Linked DNA regions of Drosophila melanogaster. The protein of the gene in region 1 purifies or fractionates together with the protein of each later gene. This does not show direct contact. Each region holds a gene or a part of one and is shown on either strand. Other genes may lie near its edges. The genes, in order: gus and Cul5.

Region 1 (5,080 bases):
ATTTGAACACTATGTCATATAGCAGTAAAAGTATGTTATTAAAGAAGATTATTATTTTATTAATGGAAAAGATATCCTAGAAAAAAGCATTGTACCCGTATTTAATTAAATAGAATTTTGAGATAAAAAAGAAAACAAAACATTTTTCTTAAACTTTTTATCGGAGTTGCCTACCTCATTTTATTTCCGGTCCTAAAGCAATTTATTAAAATGCGAAGATTTTCGCTTCTATGAATCTATTAGCGGTGGTCAGGTTTTTCAAGCTCTACATTAATGAATTTAGTGACCAGAAACATTGCAGAACTCACAGGTCGCAGGGCTGAGGCTTGAGGCAAGAAGGACAGACCTACACAAATCAGATGTTCTGCTACTTTGCACCTGGTTGACTGACGCATAGCTTGTTACGGCTGCGTCCTGCAACACTGCTCCAGAAACGATGCCATGTTGGAATTGAATTCTTTAAGACTGGTTCTCCAAATGCTGCTCCCATTTCGCCAGACTTTCCGGATCCAGCTTTTGGATAAGTACTTGGGCGATAATTCATCCAACGATTTGTGTCGTTGAGCCCATTCCATTTAGCGCGCGAATATGAGCGTTGAATTTATCACACAGTTTACAAAGCATTGAAACGGAACCATTCTGAACTGCCCTTGCCCTAGAATCTCAGTAATGTGTGCCTGGAATATTAAACAAACAGACAAATTCAATGCTATAGCATAGTTGCCATCCGATATTTCAAGTGCAGTGTCCCTCAGACATGTTCTTAGATGCTGCAACTTTTCTATGTTTGTTAGTTCAGGATGGCTATCTATTATCGTAGTAAACATAGAATAGAAGTCCAGCCAGATAGCTCGCCCAAGAGGGGGCAGCGACGTCCTATGCCGGAGTGCTACTTAATTGAAGTGTTAAAGCTTTAAACAGCTTTGCGAGCTTGTTGCAAATTATTGTTTATTAGCTGTTTTTGAGCAATGAAAAGACGAGTTTTGTGTAGCGATTTTGAACGATATGTTTAATAATAGCCGACATGTAAAAAAGATTTTGTCAAAACTTATACATGAGAAATGTTGTGTAAATTTTTGAGAAATTAATTGAAAAATGGTAACATTAAGGACAGTTGTTGAAATTAGGTACAATATTACCATTTGTAAGCGTATGTAAAACGAGCGGTAGAATAACAGTATATTATCGTATCATACGTTGAACGAACTGAGAGGCAGTTCAGTCGCGTAAAGTCAAAGCCAAGAATGTAGAAGGAAGCACATTGCCGCGCGGAGTCGCAATAAACAATCGGATGTCATCAAAAAAAGTGCAACCTGCAAAAACAATATATGGCAGTTAAGCATCTAATTATTCTTTATTATTCTTTGAACGAGCCGTATTCGGTAAGGAGAACCCGGTTTTCAATTAATAACGCCGAGTAAAATAAACTGTTTTAGTTATTTTATATTTATATTTTTTTATTTACCCGTTATTCAGCTAATGCCAGCTTTTGGCATAAATATTAATAAAATGAAAAATTGTTTGGCAGTTTAGGCGTAATGCGACAGTAGGTAAAATGTGCCTGTCATACCGTAAAAACAAGCGAGACAGATAATTGTTTTTATGAATTATTACAGTTTTTTGGTTTGGGTAAACCAAAAATTTGCAATTGTAAACTTATCAAGTTACTTTTACGCATGGGGTCAATCAGATACCTTTAATTTAAAAAATTGTAATATGGTGATAAAATGAATAACTTCATTTAAAAAGATTTTAAAATTTGTTTAATTTACATTATGTTGTGCTAAATCTTGAAACGGCTTGACTTAGAAAGTCTTTACCAAACTTCGGTCTTTGAAGTTAAATTAAATTATATAATTTCGAAGAAATTATTAGTCTTTTCCAAAATCCCACTCATTCCGCACATGACAAAAATCGTTACATGTCACAACACTGTTGATGTACGGTATAAGTGGATATACAAACAAATGAATGTTTTGTGCATCAAAGGTTCCTGAGTGATATTTTGCTTTATGTGTTGTTTTATTTTAATCATAGCAAATCGACAAGATAAAAGTAATGTAAGTTTCACAGGAACTGATAAATGAAATTCACACATATCTAACGTGGGAATTGATCAATTAATTATAAATATGGAATGTAAGAACATATGTATGTTCATATTTATAAACGTTAATCAGATAAAAATTTGAGATATGTGATAAAAATAATTATATGTGAAAACTTATCTGTACATATTGAACTTCATGTATTCAATCTCCTTGGATTGAATTTGTATGAGCGTACAAAAACACTATAAGAATATTAATTAGGAGTGAATCTGATATCACCAAAAATACATACATACGTAATTGCATACAATCTTAAAGATTTGTTGGAGAATATATTATAGGGAAGGAAGCGTTTCCCTAATGCATAAAGTATTTAAGCATATGTATATAAATAACTATATTATTGATCAGGATTACTAGACAAGTCGATCTGGCCATGGGCTTGCTTCAGTTATATGATTTTCGAATTTTTTTTTTATGAATAGTTCGTCGGTGCTGTAGCAACTTTTCATTTATTTTCTATTAACTTTAACAGTAAAGTTGAATCAATACGAAATTTTGGTTAGTATAAAAATTACATTTAAACCAAGACTGCATCACTACTTTTCTTTTAAAAGGTAATATGCAGGCTTAACTCAATGAAGGCGGCGCAAGCCGCTTTTACACTAGCATATTGTTAATTCACACAATGTAAAGTTTACTTTAACTTACTTCACTACATCCTTTAGTCATTCAGACTATACGCTATTTGTTATACTCGTTATACCCGTAGAGTAACAGGGTTCCTAGATCCGTTGAAAACTATGTAGCAGGAGGAAGGAAGCGTTTCCGACTATATAAAGTATATACAAACATATGTAAATACATATATTCTTGATCGAGACAATCTGACCATGTCCGTCTGTCCATATCAGCATCAAGATCAGCCAAAATGTTGAGATTCAGCATACAGATTCTAAAAACATAGACGCAGCGCAAGTTTGTGACCCATGTTGCCACGCAAACTCTAACGCCCACACACCACACAAAACTGTCAAGCCCACACTTTTAAAAAATGTGTTGATATTTTTTCACATTTTTTTTAGTCTTGTAAATTTCTATCGATTTACAAAAAAAAAATTTCTAACGCCCTTAAACCGCCAAAAACTGCCACGCCCACATTTTTGAACAAATTTCTGGATATTTTTCAATAATTTAATTAGTCTTGTAAATTTGTATCGATATGCCAAAAAACTTTTTGCCACGCCTAATCTAACGCCCTAAAACTTCCCCAAACTGTCACGCCCACACTTTAAAAAAATGTTTAGATTTTTTTTCATTTTTGTTTGTCTTGCCAATTTTTTATCGGTATACCAAAAACACCGTAACCACGCCTCCCCTTTTACCAACAAAACGGTCACGCCCACACTTTTAAACCATTTTTAAATCCTTTTTATTTTATCTTTATCTATCGATATCCCAAAAAATGTATGCAATTTTACGTTCGACTACAGCATTCTGTTTTGTTTTTCTCTCGATTTTTTGGTGCTGGCTCTAGAGATGGCTCCAGGCTCTCTCGAATGTTTGTTTAAGAGCCAGAGTGCGGAAAGATATACAGCCAGCTGCCCTCTTCGGCTGTCACTGTATGCGTAAGAATAAAGGAGACAATGATTGTTGGGTGCTTATGTTCGCACTTCGTGTCTCAAGAAATCATTTTTGCAATAAACAGTCAACGTATTTTTATATATTGTATATACAGTTTGTCAAGAAACTGTTTACACACTGTGAAATAAGTTGAATTTTTGACCTTAAAGGTAAAAATGTTCAAACGCTATTTTTTTATGAAATATATTTTTGTTTTACTTATAAATCAAAAAACAAATTATAAATATTAAATATAAAGAAAAGAATTTTGAGACTGTCAAGAAACTCTACGTTTTCTTTATGTGTTTAATGTATGTATGTATGTTTTTATTATTATTTAGAAATTTATTTTTTGAAATGTAATTTTTTTTTTAAATATTTCACATTGCAACTTTAAAAATTGATGTCGCAAAAGATGTCGTCAGTCCCGTTTTACATATTATTAATTATAAACACAAATTAAGATATGAAACATTTATATGAAACACTTTAAAAATCTAATAGTCAAGGCATACATGTTTAAATATTATTTGAGTAGATCATTTTGCAACGAAATTGCCCGAAACTCTAAATATGTTATATCGGATCTTAGATCAAAATTGATTTCTGCCCGAAAATCGTCTTCTAGCACAAGTACGCACACATACAAACATTCTCCAAAGACGCTAGTTATTCTAGTGTCTTTGCTTTCTCGTTTATTCTTTTAGCACACACAAGCAAGTGTATTATTTTTTTCGATTTTATACCGCTCTCAATTTTACTCAAGCGGAGAGAGAGCAATTTTGACCGTCAACAAAAAAGTGGCTGCATAGTGCAAAACCAATGAATGGCCGTTACGCATCTTGTAATTCTATTGTCTTTGCTTTAACTCGGTCTGTGAAATCAAAACAATAAGGAATTCAATAAGACAACTAGCTGTACAAGCTTTAGGAATGATACGAATAAAAGTGGTTGGCACGCTTTAAATAGCTTTTATGTCGAAATTTTTTTTTTTCGATTTTCCTTTTACTTGAAATCGATCGATACGCTAACTAAGTTTTGAAATATCTTCTTGCCTCGCATCTAAATATCGGATTCCTGGTTGTCTTGATAATCTGTGATTGTTCTGATTATTATATGATTAATATAATACTATATATATATATATATATATATATATACAGTATTGCTAGTATGTTTTCACATTAGTAAAAAAATATATCTTCATAATGTACTACCATAAGTAATAAATATTCAAATTTGCTTATATTCGATTCTTAAGTTTGAAAGCATTGGAAAAACAGTTTATATAAAACACGAAAAGAGACAGAAAAGAATCGCGTGGCGTTTTTGTTTCGCATGCTATATTAAGTCGTAAAGATCGATAAAGTTTTCTTGTGTATTATAAATTTTGTGGCTGTTTTCAA
Region 2 (6,105 bases), on another chromosome or scaffold:
TGCTCTTGCTCTCAGTAAGCGTGATTACGAATTTGGATTTTCTATTCGTAGTTTTTTTGTGTGTGTTTTTGATTGGCATTTTCTCACCTGGTCGATCCAATGACTGTCTGCGACTCATTGGCAAAAGATTTGTGCTGCTCTTCTGTTGTGTGGTGTTTTTTTCAGGGGGGTTTTATAGACAATAACGTCGGCGAATGCAAATTATGCCAATTTTGATTGATTCATTGGGTAATTTGTTGCTGCTGGTTGTTGGTTCCTTTTGGCTATTGCTTTTGCTTATTTCCTTTTGCCGCGCTGCTTCTTACTCAATTCTATACACTCAACACACACACACGCGGACATCTTTCGAATTTCATTTCACACGCGACTGTTGACTTTCTTTTTGCCCCTCTCTCACTCTAACGCGCTCTTTCTTTTTCTCACTCTCTGAGAACTCGACAGATGTTGTTGTTGTGGGGCCTTTTTTTGATTTGAGGTGTTGCTGCTTCTGCTTCTATTGCAATTTGTGACGTGCTGTTGTGATTTGTTTGTTGCTGGCTTGTGGTTTGAAAAACGCTTTTTCGACAACACACATATGGGGAGCACGCACACACTCACTCGCCAGCAGCCAGCACACACACACAAACACACACGCACGCACACATTCACTCTCGCGCGTCACGTCAATGAACGCAGCAGCACGTAGTTGTTGTTTTCGTCACTGATTCTCGCCTTGTACGCACATTTTGCTGGCTAATCGAAGCACTTGATCGGCAACTGCTCATCAGAGCCTTGTTTATTTACATTGCAGCACGGGGCTAGTGCACTTTCCCCGATTTTATGCGTTTTTCTCTCGATTCGCACGGCCGTACAACGAGCGCCGCCGCCGCAAACAAAGGGAAATGGTGAATGCTAGAGCTGGAAGAGAAGCCGATGGTTAGTCGATACTATCGATGTATACAGATAACTGGCAGCATCGATGTTTGCCCCGCAACCATCGATTGTATTCACTCTAAAAAATATGGTTTTCTACAAGAATTCAATGTTTATAAATAAAACAGTCACTTTAATAAAAGCTTAGAAAACTCTTTGTGATTTATAAAGATTTAAGCGCGTTGTTTACGATAAGTTATAAAAACTAGGGTTGACACCTGTCTGTGAAAGACTTTTTGAATGTAAATAAACATCAAGACGGCAATAACGTAACGAAATTAAATTGATAAATAACTTTATTTTACTAGTTTAACAAATAAGAATATAAAGAAAACCATACAAGTTTCCGCACTAAAAACAAAATATATTATTTTTAGAACACGAAATAGTAAGCGATATTTTGAAATGCGGAACTGAGTATTTCAGGCACATCTGACAGCCCTGAAACAATGCAGACCAGACATTAGGTCGGGGACGTGTGCTAGACCGAGATGTCTGCTAGTACTGCTTTTGTCTCACTCGCGCACGAAGAGGTAGAGAAGAAAAAAACCAAAACGAAGTGGGCAAACTAGCGAACTTCACAAAACCCTCGACAAGACAACTTTGTATTATTGCCCTATTTCTCCTTGGTTATTATTACCGCGGCTGGGCGAGGTATCCCTTAATGTTCGATTAATAACATTTCCGCAGATTTCCCGCACTTTTGCTGCACTCCGAACTGTTGTTTTATCGACTGCCCGAAATCGATTGGTCGATGGGCGATAAGCCCTACGGGCGAAATTTTACCAACACTGGTCGATAGCCAACTATCGTATCGTATCGCCTAATTACAAAAAATAAATATAAATGAAGTGAAGCGGACGCAGCAACAAAAACAAAGAGATTGCTACGATCAAAATGCTACGGGTAAGTGACCTGATCGGCGATGAAAACGCATATAGAGTTCAGTGTGCACATATACCTTTATCTCCCTGTACGACAGGCAATCGGGAAACGGGACAGGGACATCTTCGAGGAAGTTTGGCCGGACAAAAGGCGAATAGTTTTAAAGCTACTGCGCCAGGACACGGTGTCGCAGCGCGAATGGCAGGACCTATTCTTCGGCGTACACTTCGTGTGCCTGTGGGACGAGAAGGGCGCGGCCAAGATCTACGACTGCCTGCAGCAGGACATCGTTGAGTTTATCGTCCAGGCCCAAAGCCAGGTGCAAGCGCAACGGGGCGAGCAGGCCCTTCTGGCCACCTATATTGTGGAGTGGCGGAAGTTCTTTACACAGTCCAACTACCTGCCGCTGCCTTTCCGCCAGCTGGAGCAGTCGCCCCAGGTGAAGCCCTCCTCCAGTGGCAGCAGCTCCTCCGCATCCGTCTCCGCCTCGGGAGCGAGTACGAGTGCCGCCGCGGCGGCAGCAGCTACTTCCTGCAGCGGCCAGGCTGGAAAGTCAGGAGCCTCCACCTCAGCCGCAGCTGGAGCCTCCACTTCAGCCGCCGCTGCTGCAGCCTCCACATCCGCCTCCACAAGCTCAGCAGCGGCAGCTGCAGCTGCTTCCGGAAGTGGGAGCTCCAGCAGCAGCACCTCTACCTCCAAGAAAAACCCCACGGAGGACAGTCCTGTACGAAAACTAATGCTGGACTCCTGGAACAAGCACATATTCCACGACATCAAGCATCGTCTGCAGGAGTCGGCCATGAAGATTGTGCACGCCGAGCGGAACGGCGATGCCTATGATGCCCAGCTAGTGGTAGGCGTGCGCGAGAGCTATGTGAATCTCTCCTCGAATGCAGAGGACAAACTAGAGATCTACAGGGAGAACTTTGAGATGGCGTACCTTAAGGCCACTGTCGAGTTCTATCGCCTGAAATCCGCCGAACAACAGCAAGAGAACGGAGTGCTGGCCTATATGAAATACGCCGACTCAAAGTTGCGTGAGGAGGAGGTTAGGGCCAAGCGGTATCTGGAGCCCAGCAGCTTCAGTATACTTACTTACACGCTGGTTAATGTGCTCATAGTGGACCACCTCAACTCAATCATCGCCGAGTGTCCGGCTTTGATCAGGGACTATGAAACGGAGCGATTGAATCTCATGTTCCGCCTGATGGATAGAGTGATGCACGGCGTTGGCGTGGAGCCCATGATGGGTGACCTGCAGCGTCACATCATGTCCGCCGGACTGGCCGACATGCTGTCCGCTTCGGAGGTGATTACCCAGGATTCGGAAAAGTACGTTGAGCGGCTACTTGAGCTGTTCAACAAGTTCAGCGACCTGGTACGCAACGCCTTCAACGACGATCCCCGCTTCCTCACTGCCCGCGACATTGCTTTTAAGACGGTAGTCAACGACACCAGCGTGTTCAAGATGGAGCTACCCACGAGTATCGCCAATCGGGGTGTAAAGTACACAGCGCCGGAGAGCAAATGCCCGGAACTACTGGCCAACTATTGCGACATGCTGCTGCGGCGAACGCCGCTCAGCAAACGCCTCACCAGCGAACAGATCGACGCCCGTCTGCGCGATGTCCTCTTGGTCCTGAAGTACGTCAACAACAAGGACGTCTTTATGCGCTATCACAAAGTTCATTTGACGAGGCGGTAAGTTGACTGCATAATGTTTCAAATGAAGCGATTACATACTCTTGTTCCTCCAATTACAGCTTGATTCTGGGGACCAGTGCGGACAGCGAAAAGGAGGAGGACATAGTCGAGTGGCTGAGGGAGGTGGGCATGCCGGCGGACTACGTGAATCGGCTGGCGCGCATGTTCCAAGACATAAAGGTAGGTTTTACCAGACTGATGTTAGGAGCAGGTTTATTCATTATCCCCTTTCGTATATAGGTCAGCGAAGACTTAAATACTCAATTCCGCACCTCGATAAGTCGGCACGATGCTATCAACATAAAAATACTCAACGCGGGTGCCTGGGCCCGCTGTTCGGAGCGAGTCTCGGTCTCACTGCCCATCGAGCTCGAGGACTATATTCCTGATGTGGAGGAGTTTTACAAGAAGAAGCATTCCGGCCGTAAGCTGCAGTGGTACCATCACATGAGCAATGGCACTATCACCTTTGTGAATAACTTCGGGCGCTACGATCTGGATGTGACCACTTTCCAGATGGCCGTCTTGTTTGCCTGGAATCAGCGTCAGCATGACAAAATTTCCTACGAGAATCTCCGCCTGGCCACAGAACTACCAGGTTAGGATTGCTTGCAAATTTACTTTTCGCTTTGATGATAATTATTTGTGTATTTTTAAGATCCCGAACTGAGGCGAACGTTGTGGTCGCTGGTAGCGTTCCCTAAGATAAAGAAACAGATCCTGCTCATGGAACCGGCGGCGATCAGTTCGCCCAAGGACTTTGCCGAGAACACAATGTTCTATATTAATCAGGAATTTGCTATTGTCAAGAATGGCAAATCCCAGCGTCGTGGAAAGGTGATTACGCATATTAGCTATCTAATAGATAATCCATAACCAGAGTTCTCACCCGCAGCTGAATCTCATCGGGCGACTGCAATTGAGCACGGAGCGCTCGCAGCAGGAGGACAATCAATCCATTGTGCAACTGCGTATTCTGCGCACACAAGAGGCCATTATCAAAATCATGAAAGTGCGCAAGCGGATGAACAACGCAGCGCTGCAGGTTCGTTGTTCGATAGCTAGTTGTGCGTTTCAAGGGATCTAAAAAAAAAACATTCTTCTACAGGGTGAACTCATCGACATATTGAAGAACATGTTCCTGCCGTCCAAGAAGATGATCAAGGAGCAGCTGGAGTGGCTGATTGAGAACAAGTATATGAGACGGGACGACGATGATATCAACATGTTCATTTACGTGGCCTAAGCAGCTGCTCCTGATCCCGGCTCTAGTCTCAGTCCCGTCTATGCAGTCATTCCCATTTCCATTCCCTCACACGCTACTCAAAAACTATTGCGATTTTAATCTCAACGCCGACGTGCTCAAAGCACGCGCCCTTTTTCTGTCTACGGAATTGGATAATTGTATTATATGGAAACGTGATTCGCTACTGACATTGCGCCCTCAGAGCATTTAAAAGACCCACACTCCAATCGGCAGCCATTTTCTCGTGTCCACGTCCTGTATTTGTGAAACTTTGTATTTTTATATTGGCCCACTGGCTGCTCTGCGTAGCTCTAGATATTATGTTTTGTGCGCTACATGCACCCTGGAAATTCCGAACCCACGCCCACGCCCTGCCCCCGAGTATATCGATCGATAGCGTTAATCTAATCAACCTGCTGTTTTCTATGTGTGTAGTTATCCCTTGTTTGTTTCCGTTGCCTGGTCTTCTGTTGATTCTTGGGTATTTTGCAATGTTCCACGTGAGACTCACACACCTCCTGAAGATTGATGGGGAAGCCAATTCTTCGTCTCCGCTCGCTCCCAGCATGGAATGCCTAATCACACACAAACACTCACACGGGATCGCAAAACTATAACTAAAATAGCAATACTTTATGTTTAAGTTAATGAATAAATTTGGTTCTACACATAATGAAAGCGAATCTATTGCAGTTTTATTTTTAACTGGTTACTGCAACTGAAGGGCGAATAAAAATCGAATGCATTTCATTATACCATAATGCTTATTTTCTTTATTTAACTTACGTGTGTAGAGGGGCGGATGTTAGGTTAGCGTTCTAAAAGTAAAAACCTATATTAATAATTAAAAACAAGGTCAAATGATTTCTGCAGCAAGTGCACCAAAATACCAGGACAAGAGTTACACAATTGTGACATACAATCAAACCCATTAAAATTAAACTAAATATCGAAAATAGACAAAAACGGGCTGACCTATTAATATAATCAAAGACTGACAAATAGAGCATTTTAAAAAACACGTCTAAATAAAAGGAACCCTATTCTATTCTAGCTGCCACTATCATCTATGACTTATAAACCTATAGCTAAAATACTATTGAAGCGAGCATATGTCTCGGTGAGGGCAGGTCGATCTTTTCCGTAGAAAAGAAACAGCTAGCTCCTTCATATCAAGTATAAGATCAAACGTTTCCAAAAAGCCATTGACTCAAGGGTAATCATTTCACCTTCTTATCTTAGGGAGGAATCACGGCCGTACATAAATGGGAATCTACCGTCTCTTCCGACCTTTCTTATAGCCCTTGCCATACCATCCTGCCTGGGTTCGCGCCAACTTCCGTGGAAAACTCGTGCTC

Evidence for each region.
Region 2: the proteins of gus (region 1) and Cul5 purify together in Drosophila melanogaster (affinity purification with western blotting, with the first as the bait; one study listed by BioGRID). This does not show direct contact.

The regions. Positions count from the first base shown.
Region 1 is NT_033778.4:5,125,206-5,130,285, reverse strand, and holds the start of gus (gustavus), read left to right. Parts: upstream 1-1,964; 5' UTR 1,965-2,060; intron 2,061-2,762; exon of another isoform or gene 2,763-2,883; intron 2,884-2,943; exon of another isoform or gene 2,944-3,037; intron 3,038-5,080. UniProt on the Drosophila melanogaster protein: Involved in the localization of vas to the posterior pole of the oocyte. Required maternally in the germ line for efficient primordial germ cell formation.
Region 2 is NT_033777.3:29,058,595-29,064,699, reverse strand, and holds Cul5 (cullin 5), read left to right. Parts: upstream 1-1,724; 5' UTR 1,725-1,809; coding exon 1,810-1,818; intron 1,819-1,894; coding exon 1,895-3,498; intron 3,499-3,560; coding exon 3,561-3,681; intron 3,682-3,741; coding exon 3,742-4,099; intron 4,100-4,159; coding exon 4,160-4,338; intron 4,339-4,396; coding exon 4,397-4,546; intron 4,547-4,609; coding exon 4,610-4,747; 3' UTR 4,748-5,428; downstream 5,429-6,105. Other genes in the region: Bicra (BRD4 interacting chromatin remodeling complex associated protein), read right to left, coding at 88-118; Sirt7 (sirtuin 7), read right to left, coding at 6,021-6,105.